Rhinolophus ferrumequinum: one gene and its partners. The protein of the gene in region 3 interacts with the protein of the main gene of each other region in a pairwise test. Links are inferred from orthologs where the notes say so. Each region holds a gene or a part of one and is shown on either strand. Other genes may lie near its edges.

The links.
Region 1: the proteins of UBE2N (region 3) and BIRC3 interact in a two-hybrid assay, tested with the Homo sapiens proteins (2 studies listed by BioGRID and IntAct). The link is inferred for Rhinolophus ferrumequinum from reciprocal best matches to the Homo sapiens genes UBE2N and BIRC3.
Region 2: the proteins of UBE2N (region 3) and LRSAM1 interact in binary tests that used the Homo sapiens proteins (3 or more experiments, as listed by UniProt). The link is inferred for Rhinolophus ferrumequinum from reciprocal best matches to the Homo sapiens genes UBE2N and LRSAM1.
Region 4: the proteins of UBE2N (region 3) and E3 ubiquitin-protein ligase RNF103 interact in a two-hybrid assay, tested with the Homo sapiens proteins (3 studies listed by BioGRID and IntAct). The link is inferred for Rhinolophus ferrumequinum from reciprocal best matches to the Homo sapiens genes UBE2N and RNF103.

The regions. Positions count from the first base shown.
Region 1 is NC_046294.1:71,855,918-71,862,836, reverse strand, and holds the start of BIRC3 (baculoviral IAP repeat-containing protein 3), read right to left. Parts: upstream 3,010-6,919; 5' UTR 2,877-3,009; intron 1-2,876. UniProt on the Homo sapiens protein: Multi-functional protein which regulates not only caspases and apoptosis, but also modulates inflammatory signaling and immunity, mitogenic kinase signaling and cell proliferation, as well as cell invasion and metastasis.
Region 2 is NC_046295.1:76,587,655-76,594,584, reverse strand, and holds the start of LRSAM1 (E3 ubiquitin-protein ligase LRSAM1), read right to left. Parts: upstream 3,004-6,930; 5' UTR 2,868-3,003; intron 1,265-2,867; exon of another isoform or gene 1,255-1,264; 5' UTR 1,233-1,254; coding exon 1,161-1,232; intron 768-1,160; coding exon 711-767; intron 156-710; coding exon 111-155; intron 1-110. Other genes in the region: RPL12 (60S ribosomal protein L12), read left to right, coding at 3,662-3,698, 4,196-4,269, 5,500-5,598, 5,963-6,044, 6,592-6,678.
Region 3 is NC_046293.1:84,615,742-84,623,400, reverse strand, and holds the start of UBE2N (ubiquitin-conjugating enzyme E2 N), read left to right. Parts: upstream 1-4,772; 5' UTR 4,773-4,776; coding exon 4,777-4,806; intron 4,807-7,659. Other genes in the region: COPII coat assembly protein SEC16-like, read left to right, coding at 4,356-4,772. UniProt on the Homo sapiens protein: The UBE2V1-UBE2N and UBE2V2-UBE2N heterodimers catalyze the synthesis of non-canonical 'Lys-63'-linked polyubiquitin chains. This type of polyubiquitination does not lead to protein degradation by the proteasome.
Region 4 is NC_046296.1:7,873,668-7,880,654, reverse strand, and holds the start of E3 ubiquitin-protein ligase RNF103, read right to left. Parts: upstream 3,026-6,987; 5' UTR 2,888-3,025; coding exon 2,662-2,887; intron 512-2,661; coding exon 372-511; intron 1-371. UniProt on the Homo sapiens protein: Acts as an E2-dependent E3 ubiquitin-protein ligase, probably involved in the ER-associated protein degradation pathway.

The DNA of each region.
Region 1 (6,919 bases), on a different chromosome or scaffold from region 3:
TAAATGTTTTAATTAATTACCAACATTTTTAAAAAGTAAGAGATTTCCCATAACATTCTAGATTCCAAGCTTCTCTTGAAAAACCAGATCTGGCCACACGGGGCCTGTATTCCTGTATGGCAATAATCAGCCAGCTCCCAGCAGCAACTGTACCCTTTACAGAGGGCACATGCTCCCCAGTTTGGCACCGTACTTTCACTCCCTGATACAAAGACTATCAGTTGCTACTTGTCACTGAGCTAGCACTATTGCCTTTTTTGCAGTAGAATTATGAGGAAAGTGAAATTGTCCTAATACCTGTGTCTATCAAAAGTAACAAAAATGGAAGGTAGACAAAGAGGGACACATGTGTAGAGAAAAATGAGAGTACCATATTTCTTTGTGGAAAGGAAGAATATTCCTACATGTTACATATGTGAACAAAGTATGTTTTTGATTACAACTTACCCCTATTTTTTTAATTTATATCACATGCCTGGCCCCTATGCCTTTGAGATTGCTAACCCCTTACACAGATTTTACCCTAAAGAAGATTTGCTGTAAAAACAAGGCACATGTTTGTAGAAATTTAGACAACAGTTATATAATAAATATACAAAAATATGCCAAGATGTCAACCCTGGATCATTCAAACTCTGTCTTAACCATTTCCAACACCTAGACTTCAAAATGTTGTTGGGGAAGATCTGCAGTCTTGCAGACTGGGACCAGCATGACTTCAGAGGCCACCTGGGCTGGCCCTTCACCATCCCTAACTATTCTACTCAGCCCTATGCAGCTCCTCAGCCCACTGCCCTATGCAGCTCTTCTAAACATTCAATACCTTCCTCAAATTTCTCCTCCACTACTCCCCATCTCATTTTCGGTAAATGGCTTTGCCGTCTGTTTCTCAAAAAAAGAAACATCATTGAGCAGTAATTCTTTCACATCCTCAAATCCATGCCTTTTTCACTCACAAGCTATTTGCTACCTCTGAGAACAACGCTTGCCCCTGTACAGGTCCCATCCTCGCCTACTGCTTCAGAAATCTTGCTCTCACCCCCATCCCCCTCATTTATTCAACTCTCACTCTCTACTGGCTCTTTTCCTTCAATATAACAAGCATGCTTAAGTCTGTCCCAGCTTTCAAATGTAAACAGATCAAAACAACCTCTTTCAACCACACTTTCCACTAGCAACCATCCTGTATCTCATCGTCTCTTCACAGCCAAGTGAACTGAACAAGTGTCTATGGTTAAGGTCTCCCACCCACGACAATTGGCTTTAGCCTGAGCCACTTAAAACTAATCTCAATATTAATAGCACCAATAGCTTCTTTGCCAAAACCAATGGAAATTTTTGTGTCTGACACTGGGGCCCACTTCCTCTTAGAAATGCTCTACTCCCTTGGCTTCTCTGATACCACTGTCTTGGAAGTCCTCTTACCTTTCTAGTGGTTCCTTCTCAGATTGGCTCAAGTCCCCAACCTCTTCTTACTATAACATTTCCAGGGGGCAACCTCCCTGAGCCCAACTACGCTCTTGGGCACTTGGCATATCCATGTCTCTCACACTTGGCATATCCACGTCTCTCACACTGGAGCATAAATTTGCTTTTCTTTCTGCCTTCCCCCAGACTGTTTGCTTTTTCAGATCAGAACTATGTTTCAGCTCTGTACCCTCCCGACCCCAATATCCAACCAGCCTGGCATATAACGTAGTAACAAAGACTTTCTGTTGAAGAAGTGAATGTTAGCAAACTTAACTGAGCCCCCATGACCACGTGCATGGTATTAAGGACATCAATTTTATATTAATGGCCACAAAGTCTGCACAGTGATGGCTTAATACCATGCTTTGGAGTCAGACAACTTGGGTTTCCAATACCATTCAGTGTCCCCTACCAGGCCTGTGATCTTGGGCAAGTAGGCCTCCCTGAGCCAGAGTTTCCTCATTGTCAGTGGAGCTACTGGTAATTATGGTAACTGCTTCTTCAGATTGTAAGAATTAAATCTGAAAAATACCTGTGAAGTCTTCGGAGGGGTCCTAGCATATAATAGGAATTAGCAACACCTAATGTTTGCAATAAATAATAGCAAAGTAAGTTAGCATTATGGTTAGTTACTTTAGCGTCAGGTAAATGCCTCCGGCTCTTTACTAACTAAATTTAGAGCACTACCAGATTTCCATGCTAATCACCAGGAAAACAACCAAAAAAATCTGCTTTCTGCCACCATTTGGAAACATTCCTCCATTTATTCATTAAATAAATGTTTTACTGAGTCCTTACTGTGGCAACATTCTGCTTTAGGCTCTGTTCTGAAGCTTATTTGGCACAAAGACCAGGTGATTGCGCTTGGCAAGCGAATTAAACCAAATATCAAAGCTTCCCCAGTCCACTGGCTGTCCCCAAAAGTAAAACAGAAACTGAGCACCCGGCAGGAAAGCGGACCAAAAGTGAGTGCCCGCGAAGGCAGCGCGGGGCCGGCCAGCACCCTCGCGCCCCCCTGAACCCCGCGGCCCCGCGCCCAGCACCTCCCCCTGGGTTGACAGCAAAGGCTCTGGGGCAGTGGCGCTCCCCAACGCCACCTGTCAAAAGAGCGCCCCGTGCGCCGGGGAAAAGAAAGACGCCCAGGCTCGCGGAGGACACACTCTTTGCCTTGTTCCTGATCTGCTGGAGAGCCGACCTGTAGCCGACCTCTGAGCCCTGGTTTGATGACCGCGTCTCCCCGCTGACACTCTGACTCCGCTGCTGGCCCCGCGCTCCTCTGGCGGAGCAGCAGAAACGTCTCCTATCGGAGGGGGTGGGTTTGGGGGGATTGACAATCACACAGCCTCGCAGCGGCCCTGGTCACCCCACCTGCTGCCCGGAGGCCGAGGTGCGCTAGCAAGACCTACCTGCCTGCCGAGTCTTCTCGGCTGACACCTGTCGCCCCGGCAGTTCCGCGCGGGTTAGAGTCTCACGCTGCTGTTAAATGTCCCACTGCGCCCTCCCCACCCCCACCTACACACACCCGACACACCCGGTGTCCTGCACTCCTAGTGGTTGGTGCTTTCCTCTTAGGACTTAGGGGAAATCCAGCGGCAATAACCACATACACTTCCCCTTCTTAATCAGTGGTCTGGCAAAACCACTGGGGGATTTCCATGACCGTAAAAGCATGACTATTTCTTAACCGTGGCGTATCCGTGGCATTTACTGAAAGATCTTTACTTCTTTGTTCGTGGGTCAGAGGAAATATTGATAACCTGTGTTGAGTAGCTGATCATTGGTCAGCCTGACTGGAAAAGGCCCATTTCCTAATATACATATTTTGAAAAGAAGAGAAAAAATAAACTTTGTGAAATCTTTCTGATAATTTTTACTTTATGTTCTAATCAAGAAAGTTAAGGCATGAATGGAAATGCAGAAGCATGTAAAAAAAAATCACATGACTCTCCTTTTCAGTTCAGTTTTACTGTGTTAAAGATTGAGATCACCTCGTTAGTTTCCTATATTGAAATGGTTTTGTTGGTTGGTTGGTTGGTTGTTTTTCTAACGAGGGTAGAATTGGCTATAAAAAAAATTCTGCTTTTTGTCTCACAGAGGAGACATCTAAGTTACTGTGATATTCTCATGGAAACTTGAAGTTTGAGTCTAACTGCACTGCCATATTTCCTCCACATTCCTTGTCTAAGCAGTACATTTAAGCAACTTTCTCTAACGTCAGTGCTTGCCAGGAAGCAGATGGACGAAGAGAGCTCACCTGATTTTCCTGTCTTGCAGTAGATCAAAGATAATTGGGAACCAAAGGCAGAATCTATAATATTATTCATTAATTCATCATTATCCTGTGGAAACAAGAAGATGTGCCCATTCCATTCAGTATAACCAGGATGAGTTCCAGTTAGAGTCCCAGTCGGAATTATATCAAAAAGATTAAGTTCGTCTATCATGGAGAGGCTTCAATCATCGTTTGAACCTGCTTAGTTCAAAACTGTGTAAGCCATTTTCAACTCACCTTTGGATGATCAAAAACATTTTGTGGTCTTTATACACTTTTGATCATGTACCCACCAAAAAAATTTTGAAAAACTATTCCTCTGAGCATTTTTAACTTGACATTAAAACATAAAAGTTGTAGTAATTGGAAAGGAACTACAAAATGTAGACACAGATATTTTAGAATAAAACTGATCCAGGACTCTTTTAAATGTATTCAAATATCATAGCCATTTGATAGCCACTGTTATCTGTTCAACAATTAACACATTAGCTCATCTGTAATAACTGGAAATAGTATGTCACTGCCTTTTGTCCTTTTTGAACATTCTACTTCCCCCACCGAATTTTAATATATGTTCATAATGGACATCTTTATGATCACTTGGGCACATATTTCTGAAACAATGTATGTATAAATTGAAATTCAATTTTTTTTCCTGTGATCATAACCCTCTAAGTGTTAAAGAAAAATTACTCCGGATTGCATCACAGTGCTTAATACACAACTGGTCAAAATAATATAAATATGTTATAAATGTTGATAATTACTAAAGATAAAAAGTTAAATTCTATTACAAATGCAATCTTAATGGGGTTGCAGTATATATTTGAACAATTTTTCAAGTATGTTCATGAATATTACCTATTGCTAGAATATGATAGGGTTCAGCATAGATTCTGTTCCTTTTTTTTCATTTCTAAAGATTGTAAGTGTTGAAAAATCTACATATTAATAAATAAGTAGATAGGCCACGCCCAGAAGAAATGTTATTATATCAACTTTTCACAATTTTTTGAACATTTGTTTTATAGCCCAAAAGTCATTTAGTGATGTTTAATGCAAAAAGTTAATTAGTTATCAGTAGACAACTCGATTTTGTTTAAATCGGTGATTTGGAAACCACAAAATGTTTGTTCCCTAGGTAGGGTTGCCAGAGTTAGCAAATTAAAATACAGGGCACCTAGTTAAATTTAAATTTGAGATACATAACAAATGAGTATGTCCCATGCAATACATTATTCATTGATTATCTGAAAGTCAAATTTAACTGGGTGTCCTATATTTTATCTGGCAACTCTATAGCCAGATATCAGAACCATTCATTTTCTCAACACTAAACAATGAATATTTCTAATTGTCCAGGAAGATTTTACGCCTAAGGGCAATACATCATTTTAAAACCCAAGATGGATAACAGGTGAGCCTGTATTTCCTAAGAAGAGAGAACCATTGTGAAAAGGTTGGTGAGAAGAAAAAAGAGACCTGGCAACTGGAACAGCTCTTGGTTTCAGGCAGATCAGTTTTAGGAAAAACTACATGTGGAAATATAACATCAGGTTGTTAATTCCCTTAAAACTGTTTGGGTTCCCACTTACACATTTTTACATCTTTGTAAAGACTTGGTGTTTACCAAAGAGAACACTTATACCAATTTAAAAACCGTGGGCTAAGAAATCCTGCACTGACGAGGATTCCCAAGTTCTTCCAAATGATGATTGTTGGGATCAGACTTGTCTGGGCTTGGAGTGGATTGTTATGTCTCTTTTGCAACATTTTACACAACTTTTATCGTTGATTTAAAAAAACAACAACATAGCGGCGCCCGGCTAGCTCAGTCGGTAGCGCATGAGACTCTTAAAAAAACAACAACAAAGGAATTGTTTTCCTGTAACAATTCTAAGTTCCTAGGCGCAAGGACTGTATATATTTTATTCACCTCATTATTCTAGTACTAGCAGGGCACCAGCAAATAGTAGGTGCTCAATAAATCTTTGTTGACTCACAAAAATGGAGTCAATCTATCCACTTGGGCCTACTCTATTCCAAAACTGTACCCAGATTTTTAATAGTGTAACACACTTTACATTTTCCTTCTAATCTTATGAATATTCCAAATATGTTATATAAAAACTCCCCTTTTCCTTCCAGCATCCAACTTACCTAAATATATTTTCTCTCCAAATACTCTTTTAGAGACAGAAATAAGAAAGGAAATGTTTGAGGAAAGTGACAAGGTAGACACATAGGGCTATTAGTATCTCTAGTTCTCCGGTTTTTTTCTACTGTCAATGTGTATGTGTTGAGAAGGCATTTCACCTCATTCCTGGTTTGGGACTTTGATAACTCTTAACAGTGGTATGTTCTCAATATTGTGTTATTACATAATCAACTTTAAAGTGTTTTTTTCCTTGAGGGTAATTATGGTAAAAAATTCTTTCTTTGGAAGGAATTTCACATAATAATAATAATAATCCTGTAACAACTTCAGTTCCAGCCTAATACTATTGCACTATAAGTTTTTAACATTTTTCATTAAAGAAATACATAAAGATTCTACCCAGAATCTAGAATTGAAAGTAAAAGTGAAATCTAACAAAGGAAACGTACAGTCTGATTCCAAAGTAAGTAAGAGAGTCATTGTAAATGCTGGAAATTTCCTAGTCTCTTGACAACTTTATATCTTGCAAATAAAATAGTTAGATCATCCTGAACAAGTGCTAATGAAATAATTTACAAATAAATATCTTTTAATATAGACAGACTGTTCTCAATGGAATGAAGTTTGCCCTTATAAATGATGGCTTACTTTTAATTTCTTTGTCCTGACAATACTTTAATGACACATAATTTACATAGTTAAAGTGCACACATCTTAAGTGTACAGCTCATGAATTTTGAAAAATCCATATACTTGGGTGACCATCAACCAGATCAAGATGAAGAACATTCTCCATTACCCCAGAAAATTCCTTCATGCCTTTTTCCAGTCAATACCTATCAACTCCTCCATCCCCGTCTCAACCACTGTTCTGATTTTTATCACCATAGATTTTATTTGTCTGTTCTTGAACTTAGTGTAAATGGCAGCATACGGTGTGTACTCATAAAGGTTTATTTCACTCATGTTTTTAGTTTCACCCATATTGTAGTGTGTAGCAATAGTTTGTTCTTTGT
Region 2 (6,930 bases), on a different chromosome or scaffold from region 3:
GAGGGTGAGCATCAGAGAGAAGGGAGGTGCCAGGAGAGCTCCTGAAAGGCTTACCTCACAGCAAACAAACATGCAATAAACAATTCTCTGAAAACAAAGACTCATCTCACCTTTTTCTGTAGAACTTTGCATGTTGCAAAAGCCCCAAATGGAATCTAAGATAAGATAAAGAAGAGTCAGTGCCTCTTTGCCAGTTTTAAATTTGTTTTCTGATTGGCACACGTGTGAGGGAGAGATGGGGCAGAAGGCGAACAATGCCAAATGCTGATGTGGAGAACAGCACTAAGCCCAGGAAAGGCTGGTGAGGAGTGTGGCTCGGGGCGTGGTCAGCCCTCCCTTCCAATCAGCTGGCAGGAGATCGCCCTGCCAGGCGCTAGCCCGCCCCCCTCATCCCCATCCCCGGCATCATTTCCATCAGGGGCTGAAGAAAGATCTCTGGTGCTTTGCAGAGGCTGGAGAAACCCAGACTCTCCCAGGACCCTAGGAATCTGTGGGTACATTTTTCAAGTAGACTCCTTGACTCGTTTGAGACTATGGCGAGGCCTAAGATCATCTCGATTCTTTTGGACAAAAACAAAATCTAAGGAAACACCTCAATTAGCGCGTCTGGACCTTTTAAAGCCCCAGTCCACATCTGTCTGTCCCAGGAACACATGATTCAAGAAGAAAGGACAGATCAAACTCGCAGTCAGGACACCACCCCAATTTACCTCTGAGAGCTCACATTTAGAGATGTCAAGAATGTCATCTGCCCCAGCTTCTTTTGCCTAAGGATAAAAAGAGTTATTTTAAAAAAGTGTTCAAATCATCCTTGCAGAGTGGACACACCAGGCAAAGAAACAGGATTACAACTCTGCAGAGGACCACAGACAGCATCTGGTTCAACGTGTCCATTTTGTAGGCTTTAAAGGGGCTTGAGGGCCAGCAGGGAAGAGCAAATGAACAAGGGATGACAGGTGTCAGTCTATGGTGGGAAGTACAGGGCACTCCCGTATTTGACAGGTAGCCTCCTCAGTCTGCTCTGAGTCAGACATTTCCTCTGGGGGTGGGGAAGGCTGATGGGAGGGAGCAAGGCTTGTCTGGGGAGCAGTGCAGAGCCCTGTTTTGTAAGACAGAGGCGGAGATGGAGATGGACTCCGAGGAAAGCCGTTTTCCCTCACCAGACACATCTGGTACTCCAGGCGTTTCCGAGCCTCCTCGCTAGGTTTCCTCTTCCTGAAGAAGAGTGGCATTCTTCCTTTTTCCTGGAGCAATCTTCACGACACTAGGGCATAGGAGAAAAGTTGGGGTCTGGGGAATTTTTCTCCCTGGGTGCTGGGGAACCCCCCGGCACCCAGGACAGGTAGCACGGTAACACAGCATGGAGCTGGTCGGCTGGACTGTATATCCCTTAAGGGCAGGGGCTGTGTCCATCTCGACCGTCACTCTGTGCCCTGAGCCAGGCAGAGCAGGTACTCAGTACTTTTTGTTCTGTGTTGACTAAACAATAAGCACCACAACGTGGTGGAAAGAGCACAGTGGCAAGCCAGGTGACCTGGGTTCCAGCCCACATTTGCCATCAGCCACTATGAGACCCTGGCATACCTTTGCTCTGTTCTGGTCTCCCATCTCTTCTCCACGTTAAACAAGGGGGTTGACCTAGAGAGGTTTCCTCAGGTCCTGTCCAAAGATGCTCTTTGAGGAGTCTAACAGGCTGGCCTGATGAATCGCATCTAGCCTCTGAAACAGTGTCAGGGTGGTATCAACCAGCCATGACCTTGGGGAGCTCAACTATATCATAACCAAAGAGATTTTTTATAAGAAAAATTCAAAACCAATTCTCAGGCACCTTACCACTCTCACAGTTATTATTACGTCTAATTCTCACCACACCTCTGTTTATAGTGATGAAACTGACAATCATCGAGATCGGTGAGCTGGTTATACAGCCTGGATGTAGCAAAACCAGTCTGGAATTCTGCTCTTTTGAGTCCTGATCCTGTGGATTTGCCCAACTCTTTGGTGCTCAAATAACTTAGCACACACTAAGTGCACTGTCCCAAACTCGGAAGGCAGGTGCTCACTGCCTGCCCACTATCTGCACATATCAGCGCTTGATAACCGATATAGATGGGCCAGGAAGCAACCCTCCACGGAGGTTTATGGTGAACAGCACAGGCTTGGGGAGGAAATACAAGTGGGTTTGAATCCCAGATCTGCCACCCGCCAACCATGTCACCTTGCTTGGTTCACCTCTCTGAGCCTCCGTTTTCTCATCGGCAAAATAATGTTACCAGCACCTGATTCTGTGACAATCCAGTGATATCGTGTATGTAAAGCCTCTAGCACAGTACTTGGAACATAATGAGTGCTCAGGCAATGTTAGCCACACATCCAACACACAGTTATTCAGGGCCTACGACAGTTAAGGACTAGGGAGAAGAGGGCCAGGAAGGAGATCCAGTTGAAGAAGACACAGGCACAGTCCTCAGGGGCCGGGGTAGAGATCACAGGTCTCCGCCCACAGGGGCATGAGCTGTCTGGGGAGCTGCCAAGACTGCGGAGCTGGCACTTGTCACCCCACCGGCCTGCAAGGATGGGGAGTAGTCTAAAAGCAGCCGACCCCCGTCCTACCCCACGACCAGCTCTTAATCTTCTGCTCCCCAATGACTAAACCTCCCTCCCTCGCTCCCCGAAGTCCAGCTCCTTCCACCTTCTCCCCAGCAATCATACCTCCCTCAAGTCTCCCAGATCAGCTCTTCCCAGCCAGTGCCAGGTCCATCCCTCATTCACCCCATCCCTCATTCACCCCGTCCCCCAACATCCAGCAGAGATGGGGAGAACCACACCCTTCTTCCTCTGGCTGGAGTGGGGAGGGCCAGTCTGACCTGGCTTTGTGTCTGGCTAGTCCCTGACGACCGTTCCCTCTGGTGACCCTGAAGGCAGGCCGATCACTCGTAGGGCTCTGTCATGGGCGCCAGTCGCAGACCACCTGGCACGAGCTCCCTTGGATCCAGAGACTGGTCTCCTCCAAAGGCAGGAGCGGGGGACCGAAACTCAGAATCACGGAAAGTCATGCAGACCAGGATGACGAAGTCTGAGGCTCTGAGAACCGCACAATCTTAGAATTAAGAGTTAGAACGGATTTGGACCCGAACAAATTGCTTTGATGACTAAAATGCACACATCACGAGGGAGTTAAAAGGGGTCCGGGGTCGCTGTGGCCCTGGGGACTCGGAATGAGGGTGCGGACCTCTCAGGGGAGGGGCGGGGCTCTGTGATTAGGTGACAGGGACCACGGGTGACCCTCACGGTAAGGGAGAATGGGGAACAGAGAGGCCCCGGATCTTGGGAGCAGCCCTCTCTTGTCTGCCTCCCCTGGGCAAACTGCCCTGAACTCCCTTCCTCGCCCCTCGCCCCTCGCCCCAGCTCACCGCGGTGCCAGGTTCTCCACCCGTCAGCCTCTGGCGCCTGCCCACAAGCAACATGGCGACAAGGGCGTCGCTGGGAGGCGGGGTGGAGCCGGCGGTTCTCGCGACAGCCGCGCTTTCCAGCCTATATCCGGCGTAGTCGCGGGTCTTCCGGTCTTTCGCTCTTTCGGCTTTCGGCGCGGAGGAGGCCGCGGTGCAACTTTCTTCGGTCGTCCCGAATCCGGGTTCATCCGACACCAGTCGCCTCCATCATGCCGCCAAAGTTCGACCCCAACGAGGTCAAAGTCGGTGCGTGTTTTAGATGTGGCCGGGGCTGCGGGATGGAGCATCCCTTTCTCTCCGCCGCCCCTCGGCCCTGCGGCCCCCCAGCAGTTGCCTTTCCCACATCGGGCTTGAAAGCGGCTGCCTGCTAGAGGCCTTTCGGGTGCTGCCGTCAGGGCGCTGTGAAGTCCTGGCCGAGTCTCTCACTCCTCCTGGGCCTCAGCTTCCCCACCACGTGCTAATGGGGAGGGAGGACCGGACGCCCCACGCCTTAGGGTAAGGCTTGTCTCGGGCGCTCCCCCGTTAGACTGGGCTGGCTGGCGGCTGGGATGCAGCCACGCCGGCCGGTGTGGCCTCGGCAGCCTGAGCTGAAGCGAAGGCCTCGGCCGCGTGGCGTTCGGAGCTGTCCACGCCTAAGGAGGAGGTGGCTGCGGGGAGGGGGTGGCCAGCCCCGAAAAGACGCGGAGGGAGGGCGGTGGTTCGGCGGGTCCTCCTGCAGAGGCATTCATTTGTTTTTCTCCCAGTATACCTGAGGTGCACCGGTGGGGAAGTGGGTGCCACGTCTGCCCTGGCCCCCAAGATCGGCCCCCTGGGTCTGGTAAGTCATTCTCGTAGAGGCCTTTTCTTAACTTGTATGAGAACAGTTGTGTGGTGGCTTGTGCAAACACGGGCCGTCTGTCCCCGATTCGGCCTGAGGCACTGAATTGGCACTGGGTGCGGTAGAAAGGTTATATACGAAAATCAAAGCCGGTACCGGGAAGCAGTAGCTTATTTTCCAAGGTCTCTTGACCACTGCTGTTAGTGTACCGGGGAGATGGGCGGGAAGAGGTCAAGTGTGGGACTTGAAGTCGACTGGCTTAGTGACGTCCTGTTTCCTACCGTGTTGCCGCGAAAATAAGACCTTGCCGGACAATCAGCTCTAATGCGTCTTTTGGAGCGAAAATTAATGTAAGACCCGGTCTTATTTTTCTATAGTATAAGACTGGGTCTTGTATAATATAACATAATTAGTATAATCCTGGGTTTTATATAATATAATACCAGGTTTTATATTAATTTTTGCTCCAAAAGACGCATTAGAGGTGCTTGTCTGGCTAGGTCTTATTTTCAGGGAAATAGGGTCAGGGATTGGGCGTATCGCTGTTGGACGATTCTGGTGTACATTAGGATAGCTTGTATTTTCTTCTCTACAATAAACCTACTGGTTAATATGACTAGCTTTACCTGTGACCAGCTTCATTTATCTGCTTCTCCGTTTTACTAAATTTGCACTTCCCTAAGTATCATGAGGCCTTTATTCCTGCATAGTGGTGCGAGTGCTCTCAAACTTGGATTTGTTTAAGCAGTCTGAATATTCTTCCTTGGCCCTTAGCTCAGTTGGCATTCACTGGTAACACTTGTTTAGGCTAGTGGTCACTAAGAAATTCTGAAGTCGCATGTGCCCAGGTCACATCCCGGTAGCTAGACTTGGATTGGTCTGGCACCGGACACTGATACCTGTAAAGCTTCCCAGGTGATGGAAATGTAACCAGAGTTGAAAGTTCCTTCATTACCACATGGGTCCTTATGAGAGGGTAGGTAGGAAAGGGACTTGGTCCCATTATGGCCCTAGGTCTGCGTCTTACAGCTCTGAACAAACTTCACCTCTAGCCTCATTTGCCCAATTTATACATACTGGAGTGATAGTCTTGATTGGGTAGGTACAGTTGTGTGCTTCAGACAGTTTCCTGTGTGCTTGATGAGGATTTGTCAAGTAAGGAAGACCGGGCAGGTTTTCAGACTGCTTCAACTTTGGGCACAATATGATTACATACTTTTATTTCTACAGTCTCCAAAAAAGGTTGGCGATGACATCGCTAAAGCAACCGGTGATTGGAAGGGTCTGAGGATCACAGTGAAATTGACCATTCAGAACCGACAGGCCCAGGTACTTGGCTTGAGGGAGGGCAGAGGTCGTAGCAACCGCCTGGGACTCATGGGTGGAAGGTTCTTGCTGATGTGGCCACCTGCCACCAGTGGTTGAGAGCAGTTTCTCTGTCGGGAAGGCTTTTTCAAGAGCATGGGCCACGGTCAAAGACATGGGCTCAAATATTAACTCTTGTCACTCGTGGGACATTGAGCACATCACTTAATGTCTCCTAGGCTAGGACATGTTTCAGATGATGAAAATTATTTGAGAATGTGCAGCAAATCCAGTGTGGCCCATGGTCTCTAAGAACCAAGTTGCATGCCATGTTGTCTTCATTGGTGAGCGGGGCAGGGTTTATTCACATTGAGAATCTGTTTTGCAGATTGAGGTGGTACCTTCTGCCTCTGCCCTGATCATCAAAGCCCTCAAAGAACCACCAAGAGACAGAAAGAAGCAAAAAAACAGTGAGTGGCTTTTTCCCTGATGCAGGGTTTGTGAGTGGTGGTGTCTGCATAGTGCTTCATACAGAGCTGCATGTTTTCTTTTTAATGAAACCTTGGGATGGCACGGGGATTTGATGTCAGACTGTTACAGCCAGGCTCTACCACGAAGTGCTGTGCAGGAGGGAAATGGGCCGGGTGAAGCCACTGAGAATGATGACCACTAATTAGGAGACAGCACTTCTGAGCTGGATGTCACTAAACAGCTTAACCAGCCCCAATAACTTAAGTTTGTCTTCTCATCTCTAAAGTCTCTTCCACATAGGATTGGCAAAGACTTGGTTTTGCCCTGAGCCCAGCCACCCGCCACTGCACCCGACCAGTTCTGTTGGCTGGTGCATTCCAGTGGTGAGCTGATAGTAAACCCCAGCTTAGGAAACAGGGTTGTTCTTCATGTGGATGACTCTGTGCCGAAAGCGTGGGAACAGCCTGGAAATGGCTGAGGGAGGACATGTGGTCTGCTCTGGCTTTGGGTTGTGACATAGCCTTTGCTGTTTTTTCTTCTCTGCAGTTAAGCACAGTGGGAATATCACTTTTGATGAGATCGTCAACATTGCCCGACAGATGCGGCACCGATCTTTAGCTAGAGAACTCTCTGGTAAGAGGACAGTATGGAACCACCTTCATCATGATAAGGGGGTATATTCACTGAGTGGTAGCATTTTCCCACTTAAAGTGGATTTTATTCTGTAAGACCCTAAATTTGGGGTGCAGTGTCCCCTAGGTTTGAAAGAATGGCTTAATCATGTTGAAGATTTTGGGCTGGGTGTGTTTAATCTGGGTATCAAGGGTCCCATGCAAACATTGCATTCAGGGATTATGTAATTACTAGGCTGGTACAAAAGTAATT
Region 3 (7,659 bases):
TCCTGTTACCACTGGGAACTGGCCCAGAGAAAGAAATACCCCTTCCATCTACTTTTGTAAAAACATTTTGGAATCAATGATGGCCTCTGCAGAATGCCTCCAGTGGCACTTATAGGCTCCGTGGGTAAGCTAAGATTCAAAAGTGCTTTGCAAAGCATAAAGCACTAAACCAAGGTAAGCCTGATTACTCTGACTCTTCCGGATCTCATCTTTCTCCAAGCCTTCCACCTCGAGACAGAGCTCCTACCGGTATGACCCTGGATGACCCAGCTCTGATCCTGTGTACAGGCTGGCGATCTGTAACAGACTGTAAGTACTCAGATGTTTACATTGAAGTCACAAATATGAGGCAGCAGGCGTTCCTTGCTTTTTTAAAAAATCAATGTGCAATGTTTTCTTCCTCCTCCACCTATTTCCTCCCTGAGTCAGTGTTCATGAACCCTTTTCTCACAGATACTTGTCTTGATCGCCCACGAAACAGTTTTCCTATGCTGCAAGAAACAAGAGTACTTGCAAACAAATACTTCTGCCTGATCGCTATTGCTCATGAATTGAACAGGGCTTCTATTAAAGGTGACTGATCTACCATTTTCCAAATTGATCAACTCTGTGTTGTCTCTGCCAAGCGTGAGACAGTCTGTGAAAAACAGCTCTGTTATCCTCCAGGAATTCAAGTTGAAAAGTTTAGGGATGAATATAAAGATCCTGTGCTTTCTGTAATCATTTACGTAAGGATCATGAGTCAATGTCAGCCATTCTCAAACAGGCGTTTATTTTCAGCCTGCAGTCGTTGATTCATTCCCTTGACAGCTATTTTTTGGGAGCAGGCCCTGCACTCAAGCTCCAGGGATACAGTGACAACTGAGATGGAAGAGATCCATGACTCTGAGGAGCTCAAGTATTAATGTCCTAAGATATTATCTGCAGGGTAAATAGCACTTTTGCATCTGTTATTATAGGGCCAAAGTAGCAAACCCGGAATATTAGGGGGTAAGAGGTGGAGAAGTAACAGGAGGCAGTAAAATAATGTTCTGAGCAATAAGAGAGTCGCATAGAACAGGACTCCTGTAATGCCTCCAATGCAGCTTTCTTGCTTTCTCTTTCCCTATATCATAATTAAAAGCCACCTTGTACTATGAGTCCAGGAGGAGAGACTGAAAGAAACATGGCTGAGAGCGAGGCCTGATGAAGAGCTGAAGAAGACTGATTAGCTGAGTTCTGCCTCACACTGTTCAGCTTAGTGAATCTATATGGTCACTATAATTTATTCAACACCATGAACCAGCATCTTTTGGCTGAGTTTTGAGTGTATAATATCATTCTTGATGTGTTGAAAGAACTCTGAATACCTCTTAGAATGTTGACATTAGTAAGTTGGATTCTTATTTTACATTTTGAATAGGTTCAAAATCCAGAAGGTACAAGACTATAGAGTGAAAAATCTTCCTTTTACCTGTTCTCCCGCCCAGCAACCCTCCCCTGAAGAAATCGATTCAATTAGTTTTGTGGATATCCTTATTTGGTCTGTATTTCATGGGTATCGTAATGAGGATTCTTAACCAGCTTTTCTAAATTGCGAATAAACGTCATCTCAGCCCTGTGGCAACTTGTCCTTCTAGAATATATCCTGTTCTACAAGACTTTCATGAATCAGAAGTTCAGATTTTGTTTTCCTGATGAGTATAGTGTGAGCTGCTCCTAAGGAGGAAAAATGAATGGGAATACTGTCAAGTTTTAAAAATCTGGTTTTCTAAGGAAAACTATATCTGGTTCTGTCAAGATTACAAAAATAATAGCCTTTGCTAAGTGCTACGTCATCTTCTAAGCTACATGTATAATTGAAACTTCACAACAATCACAATAAAGTAAGTATATTTTATAGGTGAAGAAAACAAAGGATGGGCAAATTTCAGATCTGGCCTGGGGCTCCAAACCCCACAGTCTTTTTTTTTTTTTTTTATTTTTTATTGGGGAATATTGGAGAACAGTGTGTTTTTCCAGGACCCATCAGCTCCAAGTCAAGTTGTTTTCAATCTAGTTGTGGAGGGTGCAGCTCACTGGCCCATGTGGGAATCGAACCAGCGACATTGGTGTTATGAGCACTGGGGCTCTAACCAACTGAGCCAACTGGCCACCCCACACTCTTAATCTGTATGATACTCACTATCCATTCTGATAGAGAATAGCAAGAAGAAGGCAGATGGCAACATTTTTTGTTTATACATTTTGTTCTTCTTTATTCAAAATCTTTTGTTCTCAAATTTTAGGACCCACCAAAATTACTCACAATGTTTAAATGCAGATACCCAAGCCTCAGCATTGACCTAGAGAATTAGAATTTCTGGAGGGAGGGAGCTGGCAATGCTTATTTCAACCAGCACTCAGAATCATAGGCAGGTGACTCTCAAGCAGGTGGTTTGTAAGCATACACTGACAAATGTCGTACCTGTAACAACAGTTTGTTTTCCAAAGTTGGCCACAACCATATCTCCCATCACACACGCACACACACTGACAGTTTCTAGACTCTTGCCACTCCCCAAGAGGTGGAGTCCATGTCCTGTACCTTTGAAACTGGGTGGACTTTTGTGACTTAGTTGACCAACAGATTATGGTGGGAGTGATGCTATGAGACTTCCAAGGCTAGGCCAAAAAAGATGATTTAGCTTCTGCTTCTGCTGTTGCTAGCTAGAACACTCACTCTCGGAACTCAGCCACCACGCAGTGAGGAAGCCCCATCTGCCCCAAGGAGAGACCCACTTGGAGAGGAACTAACAGCCAGCACCAACTTGGCAGCTATGAGCCTCCTTGGAAGTGGATCTGGCCGCAGTAAGACTGCCCACACTGATGTAGCATGGAGCAGAGATGAGCCTTCCCTGGCCAAATTGCATATTCAAGAGCTAAATAAATGATGGTTGTCATTTTTAGCACTAAGTTTGAGTTGGTTTGTTAGGCAAAAATAGATAACTGCAAGAGCACACTTCTAACCCAATATTCACTCTGCCAGTCTTCCTACCAGGGTGAATTCTCCTGGGCCCTCTCTAGAATATTCTGAAAGTTTCCTTGTCCAGCGTTATTTATTTTCTCAGATTCTTTTAATCACAGAACCGCTCGCTTCAGACTTCTGGTTATTTTAAGTTCTCATTATTCCCTCTGAAGCTTCATTTCTCATCTAAAGAGCGCTAGTAATAGGAAAGCCTACCTTACACGCTTTATGATTGAGATAATCCATGTCACCATTTAGCGTTGTGCCCCGCACATAATGTTTTCTCTTATTATTCTTACAAGTTTCTTGCATCCATGTTCTTTATTTAATGCACTGTTTTTTCCTTATAGCTCAATGCCATTTCACAAGCTATTTCCCATGCCTGGCATGCTCTACCCGACCACGTCAGTTAGATTCTGACCTCATTCTTTAGGATTCCCCTTCTCCTCTGTGAAGCCTTCTCTGATTTCTCAAACAATTAATGCCTCTCTGCGCTCAAACAGCACCTTGGAAGAATCTCTGGTATAGCCCTTAACACACTGGATTGTAATTAATTGTTTACATGTCTTTCTTCTCCACCGGACTCTTAAATTCCTGCAAGGCAGGGTCAGTTTCATTGTATTCTCATCCCCTAACATAGCACCTGGCACATCTTCATTCATTCACTATGTCTGTATTCGGGTGCTAAGGAAACACCGTAGTTAAGCAGTTAAGGGGTCCATGTTTTGGCAGGCCTGCCTGGGAGTTAACAGCTCCACTTTCTCCTGCATAACCTTGTAAAAAGTTAGTTAACGTCTCTGGGTCTCCCTCTCAAGATTGCCGTGAAGATGAAGTAAAATAGTATCTGCAAAAAACCATCGCATAGCAAAGCAGTCATCAGGCTGTCGCAAAACGCTTCCCCAACAATCTCATTTTCAGGCACCGCCACTCTAATCTTCATTTAGGATCCCTGCACTTTGTGGGTAATCCTTGTCAGGGATTACGCTGGGCTCTCTAATCCTCTCTTTGGACTTTCCTCGAGCTAGCTAGTTACTCTGCGTCACAACCACCAGGTCCAGGCGTTCAGAAACCATTCTTCCCTGGTTTCTCCCTCAGCTATCTGCAAACTCTTCTTTTAGCCTTCTCCGAGTGTAAGGAGTGTGTCAAATAGGCCCGATTTAGGCGACATTTAAACATCAAAACTCTCTGGCTAGAGTTTCCCTGGATAACTTGCGAGACCCAAGTTATCACAGTTGGGAGCTTTGCCACCGAGGTTTGGTCTTCCCCTCCCTTTGAGCAGGAGCAAGCGGATCAACTAGATCGCAGTCGTCCACCGCTGCGCCAGCGCACAAGGCAGGAACGTAGAATGAAGAAATGAACGAATGAATGAATGAGCTACATCGGCAGCCGGGCCTCTGTTACGTCTCCACCGGCGCGGGCGTGGCCGTGGACATCAGGCCCGCCGGGTGTGGGCAGCCCAGTCCCACCGTCGCGCGGCAGGATCACTCACCAGCGCCGGAGATCGGCGCCGCCCCACGCCACCTCCCCCAAGTCCCTGCCCCGCCGCTGCGCGTCACTTCCGCCACCTCCAGGCCGGGGCTGGGGCGGGGTGTGTGTGGGGGGGCCAGGTCCGAGGGAAGCCGGCCCGCGGCCGAGCAGGGACTACATTTCCCAAGGGGCCACGCTGGTGGCGGCGGCGGCGGCGGCGGGCGCGGCAACGTCCCCCGGAAGTGGAGCCCGGGACTTCCACTCGTGCGTGAGGCAAGCGGAGCCGGAGTCGAGACCAGAGGCCGAACTCGGGATCTGACAAGATGGCCGGGCTGCCCCGTAGGATCATCAAGGTAACCTCCCACGCCCGCCTCTGCTCCCTGCTCTGGTCTTTCCTTCTTGGCGGATCGGGCGGCGTGGCCGCTCGCTTCCTCCGGCCCGCGGCCCGCGTTGGGAGGCCCGAGGCTGCACGGAGAGGGTCTGACCGCGGCGGCGAGGGAAGTCGGGCGCTGGGGAGGGGGCGCCGGGGAGACTTCCGGCCGCGGTGAGACAGCCCTGCGGCGGGGACCCGGGGCTTCCAGGCGGCCCCCTACGAATGGGTTCAACCTGGCCTGCGCCCTGGTGGAGGGTGGGGTTGCGGGGTTCTGGTCTGGGGTGCGGGCCTCCGCGGTCTCTCGGACCACCCCCGAACAGAGGCCGCGGGCGCGCGGGAATCGCGGCGGGGCCCGGACTTTAGGCGGAGGTTGTGGCCAGACACGGCCTCTTGGTGTCGGATCCCCCACTCGGCCCGTGAGGAAGCGCAGGGGTGCGGCAGCCCCAGGTTCAGAATGAATGAACCGGGAGGGTGAGGCCGGGCCAGGCCCTGTGCCCCGGGAGGGCCGCGCGTGCTGCCGCCGGCGGCACATGCTCGCTCCTGGCAGTCGGGGTCCGGGGACCTGGGGGCTCCGCACCCGATTGTTCCAGCTTCGGCGATTTCCTCTCCTTTAAATATGTTTCCACTCGTTATCTCTGCGAAGTGATTTTACTCTGGTTTGCAAACTGAAGAGCTGTTTCTGTTCAGAGGAAATAGTTTAACACAAGACTTGGGGTGGGGGGCGCAAGTATAGGGGTCCTTGTGAAATCTTTTGCTTTTCGATTTTGTGCCCTTTAATTATTAGACCGTTCTTTGACTCTATTAATGCTATACTTTGACAAGCATGTATGGAATCATGAAAAATTTGGCATCTTTGTTTTGTAAAGTCTTTATATAATATCAAGTCCTCAGATGTGAAATGTGTCTTGCAATTTACAAAACAAAACCTTGACATTTTTGGTCAGTTTAAATGAAGGAAGTGAGATGCATCTCTGTTGCTCAATATGCGAGTTCAGGTGACTAACTTGCAGCATCATTTTGCTTGATATAACCTGGTGAACATGTATTTAATGTAGTTTGTTTTAAAAGTTTGGGCGAGATGCGTGCTAAGTGAAAGACCTGTTGAAAGATGATGAAATGTAGTGCTTTGTGCAATCGCAATTAAATATATGAGATGGGGGGTGTCTCTGATCTAAAGATGCTTGATTTAGAGAACAATAGGACGTTTTATAAGGTAGAAATTCTTAGAAGTCAGAGTAGGACGAATTGTCATTGTGTGCTGGAGTGTAATAATGTGAACCTTCATAGTGCAAAATTTGTTGTACTGTTTTATGGATTTGTCTCGGACTCTGTCCAAGGCAGTTTAATTGCTGTATGCATTGGAAGGTCCTTACAGTGTGGTTTTAGTTATAATGCAGTCACATGGCTCCAATGGTCAGGTTTATTGAGGCTCTCGTTGAAAATGAGGGGTGGAAGAGCTGTACAATAAATATCCTTGAATTATTATTTACTGTTATTTAGGTTATAGACTAAGTACATAATACAAATTGACATTCAAGATAATCTCCAAAATACATACTGAACTAAAGACTTAACAAATATTTTTCCATTTTTGCTTGATTCTGCAGATATTCTGCAGTAACATGAAAGCCTTGGATGAAAATTAGTTCCGTGGAACCTTGTTCATAAACTTACAAAAATGATTTAAGGCAGTTAGTTGAAGTCCTCATAATTCAGTTAATTCGCACACAGTAATTTACACTAGGTATTTACATTTTACTATTTAAACCAAGAAAGTGATAACTCAGTTTTAATTTTACAGTATCCTGTTGATAGCGTCTTTCTAATGAAAGTTGCTGTGATTTTGGATTTTACCTTGTAAACAGGTAGGTGGTTAATACTATTATAGCTTAAAAGAATTGTTTTCTCCAATTCCTAGGAAGAATTAAAAGATAAAAGTGTTTTTTCTAGTGCCCATGCTTGTATTATGTAGGTTTTTTCCATAATCAGTGAAAATATCTATTTTTTTAATATCATAATTGGAACTAAAAGTTTGCCTCTTCTCTGACAATCTCAGCACGAAGTTCTGTGTGGAATATCGTGGTGGTGGTTGCTCTACTGTCCTGAATGACAGGAATGTACTGTCTTTCACTGGATATTTATTAATAAGGTGCTATCTCAGAATAGTCATTATTCACATTTGCAAAATTCTTCAACCATTTGATACCTGCAGGAATCCTGAGAAGTAGACAATATGTTTTATAGTCTAGAAACCCATTGAAATGACTTTCCTAGGGTCTTAAAACTGGCAAGAGGAAGAACTTGGACCTTGGCTCACTGTGACATTCCCCAGCCTCTTGTTATTATGAAATGAAATAATCTATGTGTAAAAATACCTTGAGACCTGTAACAATTATACAAATAAAAGATGATTTTTTGAACTACTCTTCATCCAGTTGGATTCCCATTTCAATCCAGTAGCAAATTTTCTAGACTCTACTTTCAAAATGTATCCTAAAGCAGATACATTTCACCATCTCTCTTAAATCATTGTTTTGTTCCCTCCTTTGTTGCCTGAGCTACTGTATTAGTTTCCTTTTAAGCTGCAGCTGGTGTTACTTTTTTAAAAAATAGGGCATGTCTTTCCTTTGCTTAGAACTCTACAAAGGTTCTCCATCACACTTCGAATAAAATCTTGACTTTTTTCCCCTCCCTAGCTACAAGTCCTTCTTGCATCTGGGATCTCCCTACCTCAGGTTATCCCCTGCATTTCTCTCCTTGGGTTGCTCCGCTGCAGCAGCCACCCTATTGCTTTGCTGTACGCTAAACACTGGAACCTTGCTTGTTCCGGTCA
Region 4 (6,987 bases), on a different chromosome or scaffold from region 3:
AGGATTCCTTTACTTTTACTTTAGTGTTCTTCCTCCAGATACAAAAATTATTTGGATCACTGAATTAAAAACTGGAGTTAACAAAAATTGAAAGAAAGGAATATATGTATGTGCTTCTTACTTTAATGAAGAGCCAACAACTAAAATGGATTTGCTTCTGTTGACGCGAAACAAAGCAGTCAACCCTCTTTCCCCAACAATCCCCTCTCACACTCTTCAATTTTCATTTTCCCTGTCTGCAAAACCTCTTTAAGAGGACACTGGAGCCTTCCTATGAGAACTGACTTATGGCTAAGAAATATGACATAAGTACACAGCGGGCGAATACTATTATGATTAAAAAAAAATTCACTTCAATCAGTTTCTGATACCTGAACCAGCCAGATGCCATCTTTTGTGTCTTCTACAAGCTCATAGAAGTGCATTTCACCACTGAAATTGGTACTAGAAACAGATTCAGATGCTTCTTCTTCCTTGAGTGCAGAATAGAGTTCACCTTCCATTAAGTCACCTGAAGACAAGAAAAACAAATTAGTAAGATTTCAAAATTCCCTCATTCCCAACTTCAATGATTAATTCCATTTTACACTGTTAAAAATCGTCTTGTACTTTCATTGCAGATACAGAAGAGTAGAAACTGAATATACCCATTTAAGATTCATACATCCAGTAAATATATAGTAAGAACCTATTATGTGTCAGGCAAAAATGAACAAAACAGACAAAATCTGTTTCCTCCTCATGGGGTTTACATTCTGGGAGGGGAGGGTCACCATAATTTATTAGAAAATAAGTGAAGTTTATACCAGTCCAAAAGCCACCACCATATTATCTACTTTTGTGTATACATGTTCAGGCTTCAAATACTTTTTAAACAGTATGATTTATATACTTCTGACTTAGAGATAATTAGAATAGGCTTACAGAATTTGCCGCCGCTGCATGCTTAAAATAGCAACAGAGTTTTATATGACTTTGAGGTTAGATATAAAGATCACCTATAAGAACAAACTCCACATTCATACACAACATTAACAGTGTAAATTTAGAGCTTGTAAAAGTAAAGGAAAACACTAAATGTCCAATTATTTTACTTTTGCCTTAAATGTTAACAATGAGAAAACAAGCTTTTATCATGATAGCAGCAAAGCCATTCACAGTGAATATTTAAATTATAAAGTTAAATTGCTATACCAAGACTTCGCTGCTATAGAATGTGTGATCTGAGTCATATTTTTATGGGCTATATATATTCTTTAAGTGATATGTACATTCCTGTACACTCAAAGTGACAAGTACTTTTAGGCCCAAAGGAAGGGAATACTATATAAAAGTCGAAAGGAAAAAAATGTGTTACCAAACTATTTTACTATGGAAAATATTTTGGCTTTGGCAGTTAAGATACTTCTCATTGCTAAACCTAGAGCGTTTATTAGATATCTTCTATTTTACTCCATTGCAGCCCCACACCCCAAAATAAAAGTCACCATAAACCAGTCAGCAAATAAGAGTCAAGAATAATACCACAATTTTATGTTTCCTTTAAAGAAAATGTATCACTTTACAAAGAGGGTTCCCTTCTCTACCTCAGTAATAATACATGAATTTGATAACCCTTAACTTGCAAATATGTGAGTGCTAAATCCTCTGGAGTTAATATTCTTGGTCTGTCATACTATATGGCTATAGGATACTAAAGAAGGAAAATATTTCTCTTGTAAAAGACACAGCTGACAGATATACTGAAACAATAAAAAAGATAACCATCAGTTTCTACTGCTTCCTACAACCCAGAATGCCTTTCTCAAAGGACAGTACATTCCCTCCCAGGAAGTATATCTAAACAAGACACATTTGTGCAGGGGGTGAAAAAAAACCAAACCATATTTTTCACCCAATCCTACCCCAAAACCACAGTTATTGAAAATGCATTCTTTAAGAAGTTATTCTCTTAGCACTATTTCGAATTTTATTTCACAACCCATTTCATTGATGCAGCAGTGTCTGTGACACGGAAAGAAAATAAACATTTACATACAAGGATTTTTTTAAAATCCTGAAAGAAATATAAAACAAACAAGGTAGGCATTCACAAAAAAAAAATGTTCACCTCATTTTCATCAAACTTGAAGTATGAAAAGTTAGTACTGTACAGTGTACACTTTCTCTATATTTAAACTCATTATTTTATTCATTATTTTAAACTTATATCTTAGGCTTAAATGTCTCTTTGATAATTAAATATTCCAATGACATTTTTCTCTCTGGGTAACTTGCTATTATTACTGTGACAACGTTTTGGGTTTTTTCTTACATCCTTATGAATTTTAACTGACAAATAATGCTTTCGTTTGTGACATTGCCATATTTTGAGAAAATCACTCAACTTAGTAACAATGCCAAGAAGCTGCACTTTAAACTGTTATTTTAAAATAACCTTAAAAACAGACATACCCCTACACCTAATTCCAGACCCCTTCTCAAAACGGTGATTCACATTTTTGTAGAAAACCTGGACAATGAAAAACTGGGGCAGCTCTCGGAGGAGGTAGGCTTAACTCTTCCAGGTAAGGCCTAATTCTGGGGGACCACCAGGGTACGAGGAAGTACAGGTGGCCACTACCCCGGATGGAGGGGACCTCGGGGGAGCCCGATACTCGCCTGACTTTTCCACCAGCTCCCGTACATCCTTCTTCTCGGGCAGCCCCGAGTATCCCAGCCCCCGGCACTCCAAAATGGTCTTCAGCTTCTTGAAGCTCAGCGCCACCGGATCCACTAGCTGGGTGGCAAAAATGCCAGTTTCATACCACACAATGGCCTCAAAAAACCTAGCCAGGACGAACAAGACCAGAAAATAGAGGAGCAAGAAAAAAAGCTTCAGCCACATCTTCCCCTAAGTCTTCTCTCTTTTCAGAGAGCTCAGAATACGAAAGAGAGGAGGTGAGGGGAGTGTGTATTCACGCCGGCCTGGGCGAGGGCACTATCTGCGCGTGCGGGCCGGCCCTCGCCGCGGTCACTGTTGGAACATCCCGGGCCCGGAGGCAGGTGGATTTGGGTATCTGTGAGGATAGGGAACAGACGAGGAGGGGCAGAGGCGCAGAGCTTCACGCGGGGCCTTCCAGTCAAGAGGCAAGAAAAATAAACAGAAAAAACTTAAAAAGCCCCATTAAACACCGGGTGAGCCCGCGGGGATGCAACGAAGGGACGCTCCCAGGCAGGGGGCAACTGACCGAAGTGGCGGGGTCGGCCTTCCAGCACCGTAATCTCAAGGGGGAGGAGGAAACGAAAAAAAAAATCCGATCCACAAAGGAAGCGGGGTCCCGGCTGCAGGCGGGGGGCGCAGGGGCCGATCGGGAATCCGCGGCGGCGGGTCAAGAGGACGCCCCGCTCGGCCCGGCAAGGCCCGGGGCCCAGCGCGAGAAGAAGCGGGCGCCGCAGCGCCGCGCCCGGCGCCCAGGGCCCAGGCCCCGCCGGCTGCCCAGGATCCGCGAGAAGCGGGGCCCGCACGGCGGCGGCGGCGGCAGCTCCAGGTTCTCTCCCGCCAGCGGGCGGCGCCTTTCAGGGGGGACGGGCACCGCGGCCCGGCCCGGGAGGGGGCGTCCGCGATCTCTGCAAAGGGAAATGGGGCGCGCGGAGCGAAGGTCCCGGAGGAAAAAAAGGAAAAAACAGCTCAAGACGTCTCCCTGGGCGGCTATCTGGTTGCCTCCAGGCCACGCTGTGCCCGCCCCGCTCGGATGGGCGCTGCGGACCCCGGCCGCCGTCCCCGTCACCTCGCGAGGCCGCGACAGTCGCCTCCGTAGCAGAGCGGCAGCGACCGCAGCCCGAGCAGAGACATAACAACTGACGTCGGCGGCGGGGCGGGGCCTCAGGCGGGGCCGGGAAGGAGCGCCCGCCAGGCAGGAGGAGGAAGGGGGTGGCCCAGCTGGGAGCAGTGGCTGGGGAGGGAGGCGGTAAAGAAGTGCGAAGCCGCAGCCTTGACTGGCTGGGCTTCCAAACAGCTCCCAAAGGTGCTCCTCCAATGTCTTCTCCGCTCTCTTTCCTTTTGCCCTGCAGATATTTAGTAATTGATTTTGTCCAAGGGTTGGACTTTGGACTGTGTCATTTTGTGTATTTTTTTGTTAAAATAGGATAGTTAATTATCCTCTTAAAATCGATAAAAATAGAAGAGTACGTTTATGTTAGGTCCTCGTGAATTGGGAAATTTTTGGCACAGTTGGTTTGAGGTGGTAGAAGGTGAAACCCAGAAAACAATGATTTTTTTCCGTCTCTAGGTGAGAATGTAGTTTGTGCATTGTGCGTTGGAGAGGTTTGACTGAAAGGGCAGTTAGAACTAGGCCCACTGGTCCCAGCCGGTTAGAGTCTTTCCTCCCCTTCAGTCTGAGGGGTGTTAAAAGTCAAGTAATGAAGCACTGAGTTCCCAGGACAAAGGTTGTTGAATGTTGATGTGTCCCAGTGCAAAGTTTATCTGTGTTTTCTTTCATTACCCTCCCTGAGTATGGGCTCCGCCAGCAAGAACTTAGATAAAATGAGTAGTGTGGGTGAGCACGCAGTACATAGTTGTATATTTATTTAACACCAGTGGTGAATACTCTTTATGAAAATCTCTGTGCCAGTCCTTAGGAAGAAAGGGATTGCATACATAAATTAAACAAGGCTGGCTTTTACCAACCCCCTTGATCAGGAAGGAAAAGACCTAAGAATTACAAGAGAAACGTTCGCTGTTATGCAAAACTTTATGTCAAATGTCTTAAACTAGGGGTGGGCGTTTTAGGAAGAATGGGGGTATGACCCTCAATCTTGGAGTGAATGAGGAATGGAAAACAAAGAATGAACTGTGAGAATGTAGCCTCCAAATGGTACCCCTTTAAATTAAAGCAATTAAAACCATTTCAGTACACAGCTAGAGGAGGAGGACTTAGAAGGGAACGCCCCTGGAGCAGGGAGAAAGAATCAGAGGAGGAGGTGTAGGAATGTACAACCTAGCTCTTGACCTCTGCTTCTGTGTTTTAACTAGCTTCAATGTGGCTTTGTTTCCACAACTGGCAGATCCATGTGGGAGATTGTATTAAATAGTTCATTCTAACAAGCTTGGTTCTGAAATGTCAGAATCCTTGGGTATGTCACAGTGACCCTATTACTGGGTGATATTGCTGTCCAAACCTTGAAATTTAGGGTGAAGTCCTTCTCTTCAAAGGCATGTACTCACTAGTGAGGAAAGACTGACCCAAACTCAAATAAGGTAAAAGAGGGTCGTGCAGGGAGAGTTGGGGTGTGAGCTGAAGATGGAACCAGTCAGGCCAGAGTTTGAAATTGGAAAAATATTAAAGAAGCGATTAAGTAATTCTTTGATATTTCTTGTTTGTTTCAACTGTCTCCCATCCCACCACCTAGCCTTATTCCCTCAAGGTTTAATGCTTAGAAAAAGTAACAGCACCGACTGATTAAAAAAAAAAATTATATCTTCTATCGATGGGAATGTACAACCTTTCCGGAGGGCAATTTACAACGTGAGCTAGAAAGGCCCCTGAAATGCATGCTCTTTGGCAAAGTAATCTCACTTCAGGGAAGCTATCCTGAAGAAATAACTGGTCACGTGTGTGTAGGGATGTGTGTGCAGAGTTTTGTTGGTGTAAAGTTAGGAAAAAAGAAATAAAGAAGATGAAAACAACCCAAGTATCTGGCAACAGAGATTGGTCAAATACAGTAATCCAAATGATGAACGATTAGGCAGCTTCTAAAAAGAAAGATGTAGACATATGGCCATGGATATGGAACCATGTCCAAAGTGCAGTGTCTGCAGGGAAGAGCAGGTTACTGAGAAGTTTGCATGGTAAATGATGGCATTTTTGTATTTGTATAAGAAAAAAAGATATACATACACTAAAATGTTAATCATATTCATCTTTAGGTGATGGAATTTAGATGATTTAAATTTTTCTTTTGTGCTTTATCTTTATTACTTTTCTGAACTAATTATACATTATTGTTGTAATTTTAAGATGTGTTTTGAAAAATAAGACAACCATTAGAACTGCTTCCCTGGTCTGGAGGTTTAGCTGCAGAGATTCATCCTTTGGGATTCCAAGGAAGGTATGGCCTTTCCTCCCATGAGGGTGATTTCCGTTTCCGCTATGCCTAATTGGGCAGACCATTACAACTTTTGTTCAAAGACAAGGCTGACAAAAGGATGAATTATTTATTGTTTTACATAATCTGTTTTTCTAATAGCTAAACTATTAATCTGGTTTCTTGATTTTCCATCTCAGATTCTGTTAGTTTGTGGGATGGCTTAAATGCCTTATCATTTGATATTGTGGCAAGAACAATGGTAATAAAAATATGCCGGACTAACAAGGATAAACTTTGTGCCAGACAAACCCTACTTATTATAAAATAGATCCTCTTCTTATCCCTACCCAATCTGATTCCTATTCCTCAAAGACTATTCTTTAAGCATTTGTCTCATGTTTACCCATGTATTTCCAATAATAGGTTTATACTGCTTTTCTTGATTTTTCCATTTTTATACATTATGTATTGATTTCTTACCATGGAATATGAAGAATGATCTCTTTTATATCACCCATTCACACACCATTTCCGTTCACTTATCCCCAATATGATTATATGATATATTCATTTTTGTATTAATATGACCATACAAATCTTGTTCATGGCTGAGGCACATCATTTATATTTCCTTTTTTATGCAATTGTTCATTTTCCCTGGAGTTAATAATTAACTCAAATTTTGGTTTGTTCTATTTTCTAGGGCCCTGTCTGAACTATAAAACTATTCTGATGACTAATCTATCAATTCTATATTTTATTGGAAATAAACCTCTGTCCTGGCCTCCTGCTCCAGGCTACACTGGTTATTCTTCAAACCAACTACACAGCTGTCATCCCTTCACTGCTCTTCTATGTTGGATTCTGTTTTCTTGATCCCATGGTTGCACTTTGTTCTTTCACTTCCTTGTTTGCATG